3 linked regions of the Drosophila melanogaster genome follow. The protein of the gene in region 1 interacts with the protein of each later gene in a pairwise test. Each region holds a gene or a part of one and is shown on either strand. Other genes may lie near its edges.

What was found.
Region 2: the proteins of Msr-110 (region 1) and HP6 interact in a two-hybrid assay, tested with the Drosophila melanogaster proteins (one large-scale study listed by BioGRID).
Region 3: the proteins of Msr-110 (region 1) and CG13907 interact in a two-hybrid assay, tested with the Drosophila melanogaster proteins (one large-scale study listed by BioGRID).

Annotation. Positions count from the first base shown.
Region 1 is NT_037436.4:5,572,126-5,577,015, forward strand, and holds the start of Msr-110 (Msr-110), read right to left. Parts: upstream 3,022-4,890; 5' UTR 2,962-3,021; coding exon 2,815-2,961; intron 1,705-2,814; coding exon 1,507-1,704; intron 1-1,506.
Region 2 is NT_033779.5:4,577,008-4,580,336, forward strand, and holds HP6 (heterochromatin protein 6), read right to left. Parts: upstream 1,212-3,329; 5' UTR 1,097-1,211; coding exon 776-1,096; 3' UTR 712-775; downstream 1-711.
Region 3 is NT_037436.4:876,506-883,914, reverse strand, and holds CG13907 (uncharacterized protein), read left to right. Parts: upstream 1-1,901; 5' UTR 1,902-3,011; coding exon 3,012-5,462; 3' UTR 5,463-6,624; downstream 6,625-7,409.

The sequences.
Region 1 (4,890 bases):
TCTCTAGTGGCAGCTGCTCTTTCCAGCTGATGATCTCTGGCATTTTGGATGCCCCAGCAGCAGCAGCAGCAGCAGCAGCAGCAACAACAGCAGCAGCAACAGCAACAGCAGCCGCAGCAGCAACAATTGCTGCGCCCACGCCCGCTTCAGTGGATTTTTGTTGTATCTTTTTGTATGTGGCTTGCAACATGTTTTGTTACTACCGAATGCTGCTTTCACTTCGTCTGGCATTTGATTCGCAATTGTGTTTGCTCTCTGGTTATTATGTCGCAAGCTCCAAGCTGCGAGCTCCAAATGCGAACTCCACCATTTTGGTGTCCACTTAAGCGTCAAATTATGGGAATTTCGCTTGATTGAATTTATCGTTGCATTCGCTGGATTCGTTTGTTTGCTCATTCGTTTACATAAGCCATCTGCACAGCGGGTTGAATAACCTGATCAGAGCATATATGTATGCATATCTATGCTATGTGAATAATTTGCTTCAGTTTGCACTTTCCATATCGGCTAATTGAATATTGATGACACGAATGCAAATGATTGGACCGCCAGTCATTAACTTTGAATTACGCGCCTTGCCCAGTCATCCAATCATCAATCAGCCATTTTATATCCATAGTCCTAAAGTTGTGTCTATAAAGTTGTTACTTTTTTTCATAACTGCCATTTGGTTATGGTTACATGCGTGAAATTTCTCAAGGAAGCATACAATTGAACATTTTTTTGTTTTTTTTTGCTGTTATGTACATGTGAATATGCGAAATTGCTTTGGAGCTAGGTGCTTATTCAATCACTTTTGATTGAATTGGCAGTTATGTGGCAAGATATTTGTATAAGTATAATGACTAGGAAACGTTTAGATTTACTGCAAATCGATATTTCCCAATAAATTTCCAAAGTGATAGTGATTTACGGAAAAAAGTAATTTACTCTCCACTCAGATATGTCTATCTTGTGATTGGTTTTATAATTATATGAATATAAAGCAACTGATTTATTTACTTTACAGTTAATACTAATTCCTTTTGTTTTCTTTTGGCGTCAAATTAAATTTCTGCCTAATGAGAAGCTCTTGTTACGATTTTAGGTAATATATCTAACATGTGAATATCACATTTCGTGTATGCACACACCGCATACAGTGCCTGTCGAAAGTCTGCGATCCCATGGAACTAATAGCGCGTGCAGTCAACAACATTTTGAGGGAAATTACAGCAGGTCCACACGAAGGGGGAACATTTTTCGGCTACCACAGATTATAGCTACATTTTCCGGTAATTATATTTAATTTTGCTTAATATTCGAACTTTTTTTTTTTGGGAGTCCGACTTCAGGCCGTAGCGTGTGCAGTCGAACGATGCGAGCCATTATTAGCCAACTCTATAATTTTTTAAAATTCAGTGCCCCATAGAGCACGATACTAATCTGCCATGGCAACGGATCATTGAAGCACAACGGATTGTACGGATTGGCATATCGGTTGGAATACATATTTCGCGAACTCACCTTGCCCACCTGCTGCAAAGTCTCAAGCATTAGCTCCTTTTCCAGCACCGAGTCGAGGGCCTGGACCTGATCGCACGAGGCCTTGGCCTGCAGGTAGGAGGAGGCCAGGATGAAGGATCCCAGGATGAAGGCTGACACGATGATGGTGAAGGCGGTGATCTTGGCGATTTTCACCGAATTCGCCTGGCGCTTGTAGGCCTAGAATGGTACAGAAAATCACATTAGCTTTGCGGTTTTTTTCAATGAACATACATAGTTTTTATTTGTGTTTGCAATTCAATATTTCTACGTGCTCATTTGCCTATGACCTCTCTGTGTTTCGGTTTTTTTTTTGTTGGGGGTAAGGTAAAAGCGACGACCTTACTCCACAAAATACACCTCAGCATGGTCAAGCGCGTTTTTCGCTTCAAAACGTCGAAGTTTTCGAGAATTTCAAAGAAGTGCTGGGTGCATAATTTGTGATTTTTTGTGAGTGATAATAACTTATTTACATAAAATGTGTAGGGGTTACTTCAGTTGCGACTGTTTTAGGATGGGTCATGCAATTTCATTAATATTTTATTATCAATGGGCTTTTAAGTGCTGTTTCCAGTTGACAGAGGTTGCTCGGCATTAATCATTAAAAAGCCAAACAGTCAGCTATAAGATGAGACCCAAGGTAATGAACAATAAGTGATTGTTAAAGGCATTTAAGTTTTTGGCAAGTGCTTTAATCGAGAAGAAACTGCGCCTTAGATCATCGCAAATATTTGCCTTTGCCAGCAGTGGGAAGCCGTGACTAATGTGCACAACAAATGCTTTCCGCGTAAGGTGCAAAAATTTACAAGTGGATGCAAAAAGCCGCAGCATAGGGAGTATCCACAAAAAAGTTAGGCCAGCCAAATGAATTCCGCATTTGAAGATTTTTTGTTGCGCAAGAGGAAACCCTCCGCAAAATTGAGGAAGTGGCAAGCCCAAGAGAAAAGGCAGTCTCGGGTGTGGGTGCAGTCAGGTGAGGCGGCTTTTTCTCGGTTATATCTATATCTTTTTTTTTTCTGAAATGTGCAATGTTTTTTGTTAACACCTCTACGTGCGTGGCTGGCGTGGCCCCAAAATGCAGTTGCGAAAGTGAATTGTGAGTGAGTGAGTGATCATCATCATCATCAACACCAGGCGAAGTGAAGTGGAAGTGAATGGCTCGCCTGGCACTCTATTTTACTCTACTCTACTCTACTCTACTTGATGAGGTTTTAATTTTTTTGCGTTTTGTGTTTTTTTAAACTTTTTTTGTGAAGATTTTCGTGCAGACAAAAGACTTGAGCGACAAACCTGATGATTAAAGTTAAAAAATCCCATCTGTGGTTGGTTTTGAGTGTTTGGTTCGTTTTTTGTGTGGTGGCGAGTGCGGGGGAATAGAGAAAATTTCATATTGTCAATCACGGTTTCGGGAATGGTTTGGGTTTCGGTTATTCGCATTCACATTTTTCAGCCAAACCAAAGAAAAACGATTTTTGTGGTTTTTGTTTCGAGTGTTGTGCACACACACACACACACACACACATTGCAAGGTAAAAATACATAAAAACAAGAAAAGACAAAAAGTTAATGAGATTGTACTGCAGTTGTGTGTGGGGTCGCTTAATAATACTTAAGGTGAAAACCTAACACATATGGCGCAAAGGTAAACAAATACTGCACAAAAGGGAAAGCTCTTGGCCAAGGGTCGATTGTGAAGGCTAAGACAGAGCTACTGACATATTAGGTAACTCATTGATAGATGAACTCTGTTATAGAAAAGGTCAGACTATTGGCTCTATAAAGTAATGGTTGTTATGCTCACTGTCCCATAATAGAACATCATAATAAAGGTAATTCTAGTTCACTTTTTGCATTCAGTACATATTAATGATAATTACTTTACAGATTTCAGCAGCACTGAGCATTATTCCTAATGGGTTTTTCTAATGGCTCGGTCTGCAGTCATTAAGCGATTAAAATTTAGCAAAAACAGATAATTATACAAATACATTATTTTCATTTTCCATAAACAGGGTATCTTTTAGCTGTTTTTTATTTTCACTAACTGGTGTCTATATGTCAGCCAATCAGGTTTGCCGCTTTTTTGCATTGGGTCAGTGGAAGTGTGCACTGGAATTGAGCCTGTTAGATAACTTTTTGCTTTCACTGTACCGCTGGCAAGGCGATAATGATGGAAGGGGGAAAACCCTCGCGTGAATGGAACCGCACAAATCATTTATGGCTGATGCGGATGCTGACTGTTGAATGCCAAATGCAAAATGTACGGTGCAATTTATGCAAATTTGTATTACAATTTAGCCCACACAACAACACCACTACGCCAGGGGATCTAATAGTTTTATTTTTATATCTATATATATGCTTAATAAATATGGTGTATGGTATGGTTGGGAAAACAAGTTGAACAAGTCAAAGTACTCGGCGGTGGCGCAGTCTATATAGATATGGTATTTGTTTTGGCTTTGCGTTATTAGCGTGTCGTGACTGTGGCATTAGAGCTCTTCGCGATTCGGATTGAGGCGGATTTCTATTTGTCCAACCATATCGGATACACAGATCCATTCACACCTTGCCAAGACAGAAGTATGTATGCAAGTAGGTACGGGTGTATCTTGTATCTTGCAGATACGAACGTTACTGTGGACTATTTCAGGGAAATGTCAAGCCGCTGACAATTGTCGAAACCGATCACGTTGCATGCGATTCCCTCTCGACTGTCAGACGGTAATAATTTTTAAAATTGCACATTAATGGCGGGGCATTTGCAAATTGCTTATGCATCATGCAGTGCAGACTGATTTGGCGAAAATGCAGCTCACGTTTGCAGCTACTTGCAGAAAAAGTCCGCATTGCGCATACGCTCTGTGGTCCGTCGGCGGATGCAATAAGTCAAAGGGTGACCCTGGCATTTTCTAACCCACTTGGCTGCCAACCGACCAATCAACGCTCAACAGGTCAGTTGAACTGCAAAGCTTAGTTGAGCGCAGACTAGATGTTGATCAGAAAATTAAATGATCATTTAAATTAGCTTAATAAACAAGTACATTTTACGCAGAAATACTAATCTATTAATCTAATGAATTTATGATTTATTTTTTCTGTGCAAAATCAACCATCGTATGTATCTGTTTGTCATTAGTTTCGCCACTAGTCACTTGTGTGGCAACTCGAGGCTTCACTGTACTCACCGGTGGCGGTTCGCTGGCGGTGCTGTAGACCTCGCTAGCCGCATAGTCGGGCTTCATTTGCACGGTAGCCATCGAGACGGTATCCTTCTCGGTCATCTATAGCACTATAAAATATGGGGAACAATCGGTTAACTCTCGGCTACTCGAAGTCCTGCCATGTAAAATCCAAGCAAGGATA
Region 2 (3,329 bases), on another chromosome or scaffold:
TTTTCAAGTTAATTCGTGCACTTTGCATGTGAGTGGCAATTGGGCTTTGATTGATTTCGAAATGCCAGGCGGCGCCCCATTTTATTTCGCTTCTTCTCTTTCTTGTGCGCTTTTGCCATAAATCTTGCATAAATCGATTTAATCTGCCCCTGGCCACGCCCACCTGCTGGTGGGCCCCTCAATTAATTATACTTTTTCAATGTCAAAATGTCGCTGCAAGAAAGGTGCGCCACCAATTTAACCCTTTTTTTTATGTACGTATTAGTTGACTGCGTGAATCTTGAGGCGCCTGCAACATGGAATCTGAGAGCTGAGTCTGATCCTGCGGCTTAACCTTCTTTTCTAATTGCAGGTTTTCCAACGCCCCGATGTGAAGGTCACTGACAGCATTAAGTGCACTGGAAAAAGTTTAATGAGGCAAGTGCACCATTTATGAACTGTTTTTTTTATGAACTTTCAAATACCCCTACAGACTTTTCGCTCGGTGTATACATACACGTATAATTTCGCGCCCGGCAGATAATGCCGCCGGCCTGTCTCCAACATCAAGCTGCGTCTAGGAGGCGGAGGGCGTGGCTGGGCCGAGCTAAACTCACTTATTCACCTGCCCGCATGCCAACAAAGTGCAGCATCAGCAACCAGTTCGCATGAAAATGCATAATCAATCACCAGCGACAACGGCGACCAGAAAATGAAGAAAAACTCGTGGCAGAAGAGTCAATACTCTTTATTGACATTGCACCGCAATGTCTTCGGTGCACAATAGTTTTATGGACTAGGCATTTCGTGATCGTTTCTTCCTGGGACTCGGAGTGGTCTCATACCCATTGTCCGACTCCAAGTCTTCTTCATCGCCCTCATCCGTGAACACAATACGCTCCTCGTAGAACGAGATGACCATTTGGGGGCACCGAACGTTGAGCACTTCGGCGGGCACCAGGCCGGCTTCGTCGCAACCCTTCCACTGCATCAAAAAGGTCAGCTTACCGGACCAGTTGCAGGCTCCTAAGATCCGCAACGGTTCGAGTCCAAGATCAAATCCATTTCGTTGCTTCACCGGAAGAGCAGTAGAGGACGTCAAAGTGGAGCTGGGCATCTTCCGTTTGGTTTTAGATATCGTGGGATTTATTTCAATGTAATCTATTTTTCTTTTTTCGACGCGCGTAGCCAATTGTCACGTTTTGTCAAGTGTTTACACACCGAGATATTATTTTTCAGTTTCGATAACTGTAGGTATCGACATGCTTTGGCAACCCTTTCGATGTGGCAGCCCTAAATGATTAATTTGAAAAGCGTTAGAGAAAATGGAAATAAAATTGTACACTCCCCTTGACTGGACATATTCTTTCAGATTTAGTTAGGGTATTGTGCATTCCAACGCCCATTGAGCGTATCATTGGTGCATCTTCATCTGACATTTCGCACGACTCGAATGTCAAGGCGCGATTGCCGGCGATACTACTTGCGATATTGGCCTCTTACGCGGCTCCACTTGTTAACTTGAATTCGTGTAAAGTGGCCGCTCATTAAAAACTCATAAATCAGGGCGGAAGGGAGGAGGGTTTTCGGTGGCACCGCCGCCAGTAATTGCCGTTGCTGGCCCAGTGTCAAAATAAAGGCAAAATAAAGGAACCCAACTCGTCGGCGGAAATGATCGGCCACCAGGTGATGGGGATGGTGGGAATGGGGCATATGGATACTACAGCTAGCTGCCAGTAATTTCCGCATATTGGAAGTCTCGTACTCTCAGATGGGCATGTGATTAATGATTAATCTGCTCGGTGCATCCGCCGCTATGACATTTAGCCAACGCCGCCTGAGAACCCGCTGCAGCAACAAAAAGAATCCGATTCGGAATCAGAAACAGAAACAGAAGTCGGTGGCGGGGTGGCCAGTTAAAGCCGAGGTCTCCGGTCGCCAGTTGGAGCCATTAAACGCCGCTGGAGCTGCTTGGGCGCACAATTTAAAGCAGCAACTAACGCAGTTAGACAACAAACCACTTTCAAGAGCTGGCTGGCAAACAGGGAAAACGGCTTTCAACTCGTTTCGCTGCCCGCTCAGATGCAGTTGCATACACTGAGGAAAGTGATGTATGAGTTCTTCAATTTAATCGATTTTTGTGTAAGAATATTTGGCTCGGTGTGTATGTATTCCAGAAAAATAATTAATTCCAAAAGTATTTAGAAACAACATAAACTTTTTCTACATTTTCCAAAAGCTTTTATATTTAAGAACATATATATTATTAGTTTTTCATAGGAAATAATTTTCCTTCTCAAAACATATTTTTTCAAGTGTACTGCCGTTAATGCTGCTGATGCCGTGGGTGCAGCCGTTGAATGTTGCATGCTGCTAGTACGTTCAACTTTTGCAGTTAACAGTTAGATTTTGAAATGGCCAGCAGCACTGGCATCGTCGTCGGCAATGGTATCGGTTCTCTGGGATTCCAGTTTTCTGGCCACAGCCTGAGAACCCGGCGATCAAGATGCGCGGCTCCACCACGACGGAAGGAAATTGCCGTCCAAGGCGAAGTCACAGCTCCGATCGCAGCATTGCGCACATCAAATAAATACTGGTACTTGGCAATTTTTGTGTTAAAACAAAATTAAAGCAATGCCAGCCGTGCTGCTCTGCGGTGTAACATTAACCCAAATACATAATTCCCATTCTCGCCTCATCGGCATCGGACAAGGATCGGCGCATTAATCATTGGACGGCAGGGGGACAGCTCTTGGGAAGCGGCAGCATATTTGGGTTTATGGGTGAGCCCCAGTATCCTAAGCAGGAAATCATTAGAGTGCGATCCAAGGAATCCGCAGGGGTTTGGCTCATGCATACATACTTATACGTATTTCTTGGGAATTTTTTTATAGATCTTGGCTCTGCCTGATGGTCGGTTTCTAAGCCATCAAGCGGAGATCATCGCGTGACTGGGCAACAAAAACCCATTATAAATTCCTCACATTTATGATGTGTCCTTCTGTCAGCGATGATAAAAGATCCTACCAATCTGTTCTAGTCTTGTGAAATAGTCGTGTTTTGGTGGAGATAAATATATATTGATCATGAGTGTAAATAAGCTTGCCAAGAGCTGTTGGAAACTATTTGTGCAACATATCCACTTCTAAGAAGGTAGGTTTTTCGCATGGGCATGTGAAAAATAAGAGCTTTAAACAAAATCTCCATCTTATCCCTTTATTTCGCAGATCTTCACCTCAATGGTACAATATATTGATATATATGCGACCAGGCGAGTGAGACATTACAAGCGATGTCCGAGAACAATGTATATATCTTGTCAGCAGGGATGCGGCTCGATCCGATTGACT
Region 3 (7,409 bases), 4.7 Mb from region 1:
CAACCTTTCAGCAACGAGGAAATAAAGAACTGAGGAAAGCTCTTGGCCAGCTGGAGAAAAATCTTTTTGTGTTCTTGTCTGTGCAAAGCTCTGTTCCCTCAGCAAAAGATGAATAGTTCAAGGATAGTTTATTCATTGCAAAAAGTGAACATCTGTGACAGTGGGAAAAACAATTTACGCTCATAAAGTGGAAAGAAAAATGTCCCTTTTATCAAACTTGTCACGTTTACTTGAAATATTTTAATTAAAACTCAGTATTAAGTTTAGTCCTATTGTGTTTGATATTACCTTAAGTAGTTTTTCTCAGTGCATTGCCCTATTTCACCCACATTTCACTCGCTTGCGTTTGGTTTTTTGGCACAGAATTCTGTTTTAAATGGGCCAGCTAATTTCCCAAAGACACCTGGTGCAAACGGCCACTAAGCAATCCATCCCGCTCATTTTGGCCCCTGAAACTTTGGATATCGAGTGTCACGGGCAACGTCCTAGTTTTCCAAACGTCCTGAGTGCATTGCATTTTGCGGCACATGCAATTTTAATAAGAGGAATTCTAAACGCACACATTGCGGTATAACAGTTTTGCTGCGATTACCGCTGTTTCGGATTAAATTTCAGTTAGGTTAAGTGTGATTTGTAGGCACACGCAGATTGCTAGCCAAGATTGGAGGCGTTGGCCATTTGAGGCCCCACGTAATGCGTTAATAACAGAGCAGCAAATCGAGTTAGCGAATCGGAACACAAAAAATAACATGAAAGAATCGTGGGAAGAGCCAAAGTGGCGCCCTCTGGCGTTGACCCACAATATCGGAGGGGTTTCATTTTCCTTCCATGTGAGCGTGTGTTTGACATGGAATTTTTATGAATGACATTGACCAACCACCCAAGAAGAAGAAGAACTGCTCACATCCCCCCGAAGGAAAGAGAGAGCCAAAGAGAACGAAAGAATTCTCTTACGACGCCTCACCGCAACAAATACGACGAAAAAGTGCTAACCAAGCCGAAAAACTGTTATAAACAACCAGAAGACAAAAAGCACATTTTTACGATTTTACGACCTGGCAACAGACGAAAAAGTTGATAAACAAAATAACTAGAAATATCTCAAAAGGCCTTCTTATCAGCTGCGTGTCGAATGCATTTTATTATTTAGGCGAGCCAACTGTAAAGATAATGCGCGGATTATACAATGGTCGGCGCCTAAAAGGCGGCAGACAAAAGTAACACTTTCGCCCGAACACGCACTTAGAATGACAGTAGAACTTCCCTAAATGAAACTTACAGTTTGGGAGTTGCACTGTTATTATTAAAAATAATTAAAAATATAAAATATAAATATAAAATATAAAATATAAATATCTACTCTATGGAAGTGATTTGCCTTGATATTTTGAAAAAGCATTTAGCAGTGCATTTGTTACACATTCGCTACAAGAGTAGGAAAAACATCCGTATGTTCAAAATCTTTAAAAGTGTCTTTAAGAAAATGTAATTTCCGTGTAAGATGTCCTGCAAAATTTTGCGTAGCTTCTGAAAAGTAAAAGTTAACCTTTAACCTAAATCGGCAGTAAAGAGCAACAGTTTCTGCGCTCTTTGGTTTAGGAACGTTGTGCAGTATAACAGTTTGAACAATTGCTGTGGCCATGTGGCAAAAGGCGGTTACCGGTTTTTCAGGCTTTACCTTTTCAAATTCAAATCAAAGAAAAGCAAAGATGATAAAAAGAAGGGAGAAAGACAAAAAGACAACCCTTGGGCAAACAAAGAGGGGTTGTTTGTCTTGGCTCTCCCTATCACTGCCACTCTCCCGCTCTCGCGGCTATTTGTTTTTGTTTCAATCAGCTGTTTTTTGGGGACGAGAGAGCGCGAGTGGAGCTTGCGCTCTGTGAGCTTGAACTTCAAATGCAACAAAACGGGCGACAGAGCGAAGGAGAGAGGGCGAGTGTTTTTACAGAAACTTAGAATTTGTCTTTGTATATCGTATAACAGTCGCTATTTGCTGCCGTTACGAGGAATTTTCATTTTCATTTCGCAGCGGACGGCGCAGCAGTTCAGAACAAAACTCGGGGAATTCAAAATCGGAATCGGAGATTGTTATTTTTCGCCAGATTCGCAAAAAGCAAATGAAAATGTCGCCCAAATGCAACTGCAGCTAAAAGTTATCGAGTAGTGTGTGTGTGCCGCCGAGTGTGTGCGTGGTGTGCGCTTTTTATCGATCACACTCCGCTCTTCTTCCTCCTCCTTTCCACCTCACCTCCCCACCCCATACCAACTCAGACACTCTGTCACGCTCTCCAATCGAATTTCAAAGCTGAAAATCGAAAAATTATACAATTGCATTCGCAAATTACGACGTACACACGTACGTACGTACGTACAGCACCCCCAAAAAAGCTGAGGAAATCACAGAAACGCAAAATCAAAGTCAAAGAAAAATCAAAGCAAAGAACCAGCGAAAATCGGGCAAATTTAAGGAAAACAAACATTTTCTAGTGACCTCAGCTGCAGCTGCAAGTGCAAGTTAAAAATACACAAACAAAGCGGAAATAAGCGAAAATAAAGCACAAAAACCGCAAGGAAAATAGTAACGGTTAAGTTGAAACCAGCACAAAATAAAGTCAAACTGTTCAACTGGAGCTAAAATATTAATAAACCAGGCCAAAGGCAGCACTCGTCTAATATTTGCTTAAATACAGGCAGCCCACGCCTTTTATCGCTAGTGAATTTATGAATTTATCAAACTAAACGAAAACAAAAACTCAATAACAATTGACACACACTCACACAAAAGCCAACTGCAGTGGGAGAGCAGCGAAGAGCGAGCTTGCAAAGAGCGAGAGTGAAGAGATAAACTTGGGCTCTCTCCTTCGCATTTGGCATTCACACGCGGGCAGCGACGCCAAGCGGACGTTCCTCCTCCTTCTTCGCCCTTCGCACTTCACACTTTCTAGCCCACTTTTTCAACTCCACCAAAACCGCGTGTGTGCCCGGGAACCCTAACCCTTCGTCCCGCCAACATGGTGGATACAAACAGTTCAAATCCGGGAATCGTGGGTGGAAACTCCGCCTCGTCCGCCAGGCTGAGGAGATTCGAGCGGACGGACAGTGAGCTGGCCTGCGAGGAGGCGGCCAGGCTGACGGCGGAACAGAGTCCGGAGGACGAGGACAATCAGGACAACGACGAGGATGACGACGACGAGGAGAGCGTGTACGGGGAACTGCCGCCTCCGCCGGACGGAGGATACGGCTGGGTCATCTGCTTCGCCAGCTTCATGTGCAACATGATCGTGGACGGTATCGCCTACACGTTCGGCATCTTCCTGGAGGAGTTCGTGGCCTACTTCCACGAGGGCAAGGGTACGGTGGCCTGGGTGGGCAGTCTTCTGTCAGGAGTCTACCTCAGCGCCGGACCTATCGTTTCCGCCCTGGCCAACAAGTACGGATGCCGAGCCGTCTGCATAGCCGGGAGCATAATCGCCTGCATAGCCTTCGTCTTGAGTACGTTCAGTACCAACGTGAGCATGCTGATGGCCACCTATGGCTTCATGGGGGGATTCGGGTTCGGCATGATTTATCTGCCTGCTGTAGTGGCCGTGGGCTATTACTTTGAAACCAAGCGGAGTCTGGCCACAGGAATTGCGGTCTGCGGCTCTGGCTTTGGCACCTTCGCCTTTGCCCCGCTGGCCACCTATCTCCTGGAGGAGTACGGCTGGAAAAACGCCCTGCTCATCTTTGCTGGCCTGATCCTCAACTGCGCCATCTTCGGAGCCATGATGCGGCCACTGACCTACCCGAAAAAGAAGAAGCAGAAGCCCTTGATGCAAAGGATGTACGAGGAGAAGCAGCTGCAGCTGGAAAGGGGTTCCTTTGCGGGCTCCCACTTCATGGTGCAGTTACCGGATGGAACCATCGAGCGGAAACTGAAGATGCCGCTCAATGCGGATCCCGGTGTGCATTCCAGCTTGAATCTGGAGCTGCTGGCCCAACAGGCAGGCGGCGGAGGTCTGCATCCCGTCTCTACCCTGCCCACCATCACGGAGTCCAAAGTGGTGGATGTTCATCGACAGAACGGCGCGCAATCTCCACCAAATGGCGACAGCAATGGCCAGTTATCCGCTCGATCCGCCGCAGGTGCCGTCGGCCGCCGTCCTCACAGGAACTCGGAGTCGGAGAATAGTCCGTACCACTCGCAGGATGCCATGACCCGGAACGCATCGCAGCCCGCCTTCCTGGCCGGAGATCATCAGAGTTTGCCCAAAAACGGATCCGTGCCGGCATTCAACACGCGAGTTAGGAAAACCTCCGCCTCGGAGCGCTTCCAGCCTTCGCTGGCCGCCATCAGGGCCACTTCTCGCGGAGATTTGGAGGCAGGAGCAGGCGGTGACTTCGCCTCCTCGAAGTTGTCGCTTTCACAACGGCAGGGCGGCAGTCAAACTGGAAGCAGCGGCAGGATGGTGCGACCCATGTCCCGCAAGGATATCTTCTACTCGGGATCCGTGACGAACCTGCCGCAATATCAGTCCCAGAAGTCCTTGGCCAACTACAGGAATTCGGTGCTGTCGCTAACCAAGTACGAGAAGAGCATGCAGAGTGTGGCTAAATTGGATCCCTTGGCCGAGGCTGAGAAGCATCGCGAGGAGTATGACCTGTGTCCCTGCCTTGGCATTCCCGATTCCGTGAAGTCCGTGGTTAACACCATGTTGGATGTTAGCCTTCTGAAGGATCCCGTCTTCATGCTTATCGGAGTCTCGAATATTTTTGGCATGGCCGGACTGTACGTGCCCTTCGTCTACCTGGTGGATGCGGCCAAGGAACACGACATACCAAAGAACGATGCAGCCATGCTTCTGTCCATCATTGGCATCACCAACACCGTGGGCCGTGTCTTCTGCGGCTGGGTAGCGGACCTGCCGCAAGTGAACTCGCTACTGCTCAACAACTGCTGCCTGCTGGTGTCCACCATAGCCGTGACTTTGACCCCATTGTGCTACAGCTACGCGGCCTACATAACCATGTCCATATTCTTCGGACTGGCCATCTCGGGCTACATCTCGCTGACGTCAATTATCCTGGTCGACCTCCTCGGCCTGGACAAGCTAACAAATGCCTTCGGACTGCTGATCCTGTTCAGAGGATTTGCCGCCCTGATCGGAACGCCCTTGGCGGGAGCCATCTACGACATGACGCACACCTACGACCTGCCCTTTTACATGGCCGGTGCGTTGTTCGGCATCTCCACGATAACCAGTTTCCTGGCGCCCTGCTTGAAGAGATGCAGTCCCTCGGAGGAGACTCCTGTGCATGTGGAAACGCTCACACCCATCGACGAGGAGCAGGGCGAAGATGCCGAGGACGACGAGGATCAGCCGATCACCATAGTGCCCAAGATCATCAAGACACTGGCGAGTCCGCAACAGGAAGAGGGACATCCGCAGTTCCCCCAGAAGACAAGCGAATCGAAGCTCTAAGGAGACTTCGATCGGTTGGAAAGGAGAGAGAAGTGAATTTACAGGGGGCAGTGCGGAGCTTAAGAGGATCCGGTGAGATATTTTTCTATTTACTTATACAGCAGAGGAGGAGGAGATCAGAGATCGAGCACACCTATATACAAAGTGGAGAAGACGGATGGATATATATATAGCCAGCCCCACACCATATATACATATATATATATATATACCTTTAAGCCTAGGCAACAGCGGAGGATGAAGTGCGGAAAATTCACTTTTCTACCAGGAGAACTCAGCTTAGCTTTCGATAAGATATAGAGAAACCTTCGGCTATATATAAAGTTATACTACGCTCATAAATTAACGATCGAAAACTGATACCGATCGCTGGTAGATTGCAACTGTTATACAGCAACCACAAAATATTGTAAAGTAAATTCTATTATTATTATTTGTTTGTTAAAACCTACGATTACTATAATTACCATTATGATTACTATTAAAGATTATTGTGTACTTCTAATAGTTGTTGGCCAGGCGTTATAAATGTGTCATACCGTAGCGATATAGAGATAGAGCGATACATAGCGTGTGTGTAAACTAAAATGTAACTAAGTAGAGGTGGCCCGATTAACTTAAAGAGCGGCAGCAGCAACTATTTCGAGAAATAATAAATTGTATATTTTTTAAGAAAGAACGCTACACAGCAAAACTCAAAGGCGAGAACACAAAGGACCGCAGTAAGAACTAAAATTGTTTTCAATTTTACACTAATCGTTTAGGTGGCAAACTCAAATACAAATTTACGGCTCATTTTTGTAAGTTACTTACTAAACTAAAGTCCAGCAACAGAAAAACCAAGAGTAAATGATTTTTAAGGCTTGTGTATGTCCGTTTTTAACTATCCAAACATATAGCCTAGTAGCTACGAACCATAAGCAATACGGCAAGTGCAGTTCTATACAAACGAAATTGTTCACGCGGCTAAACTAATTAAACAGTATAATATGTACCACAAACAATATTCTAAATCTGTTTTACGCATAAGAACGGGGCAACAAACAGTGAGCAAGTGGGAAACACATCAATGTAACATTTAGAACAATAAGTGTTGAGAAGGAATGAGAAAAGCAGCCAGAATAGTAATAAAAGATATTGCCATAAATTTTAAAAACCGTCGAAACCAATGCGTTTTTGTGGGTGTATCTGGGGTATATGGATAATGGCTTATCAGAAATGAGTTCATTAGAACTTTTCTTCAGTAAGTTTTTCCCTCGTGACCTTCACAACGTTCGGGGAAACCGACAGACATGGACTCAATGGACTGCGCTCTATTTGAATAAGCGTAAGTACTTCTATCAAGAGGTAGCTCGTGAAAGCTCTAGCACAATTATAATCTCCCCGGGGAGCGTGTGCCGCTCTAAAAGACATCGATCAAAAGTTTGCCTTGGACTTAAGTTAATGCATTTATCAAAGAACGTGAAACCCCTTCGATGTCGCGGAAAATCAGATCATAACAAGCTTACTCGTAAAACCCTCGACCCAAATGATTAGCCTAATCAATTTGCCACGATGAGTTATGGCTTCACTAATTGTGGCCGACCAGAGGAATACTGTAGTGTGTATCATTCTCTAGTCAGTGGACAAACACTTGGCGATATCGCCATATGAAAGCCGTCTGCAAAGCCAAGTGCTTCGAAAACAGCCATAAAAGAAAAACCTCTCGACTAGACGGTGCTCGTTGAATCAACGTAGATACAGATACGGTTATGAAAACAACTGGAACCCAATCAGTTGGCAAGACCTCCTCCATTTCGTGAGAGATTCCCAATTCCCATTCCATGTGCATTCAAACACGAGAGGCAATTAAAAAAAAAAACAATTAAATATCTCTAGAATAACCATAAATCAATCAAAATCTTGCAATCTACTGTGTTAATAATCAATGAAGTAATACCTGCACCT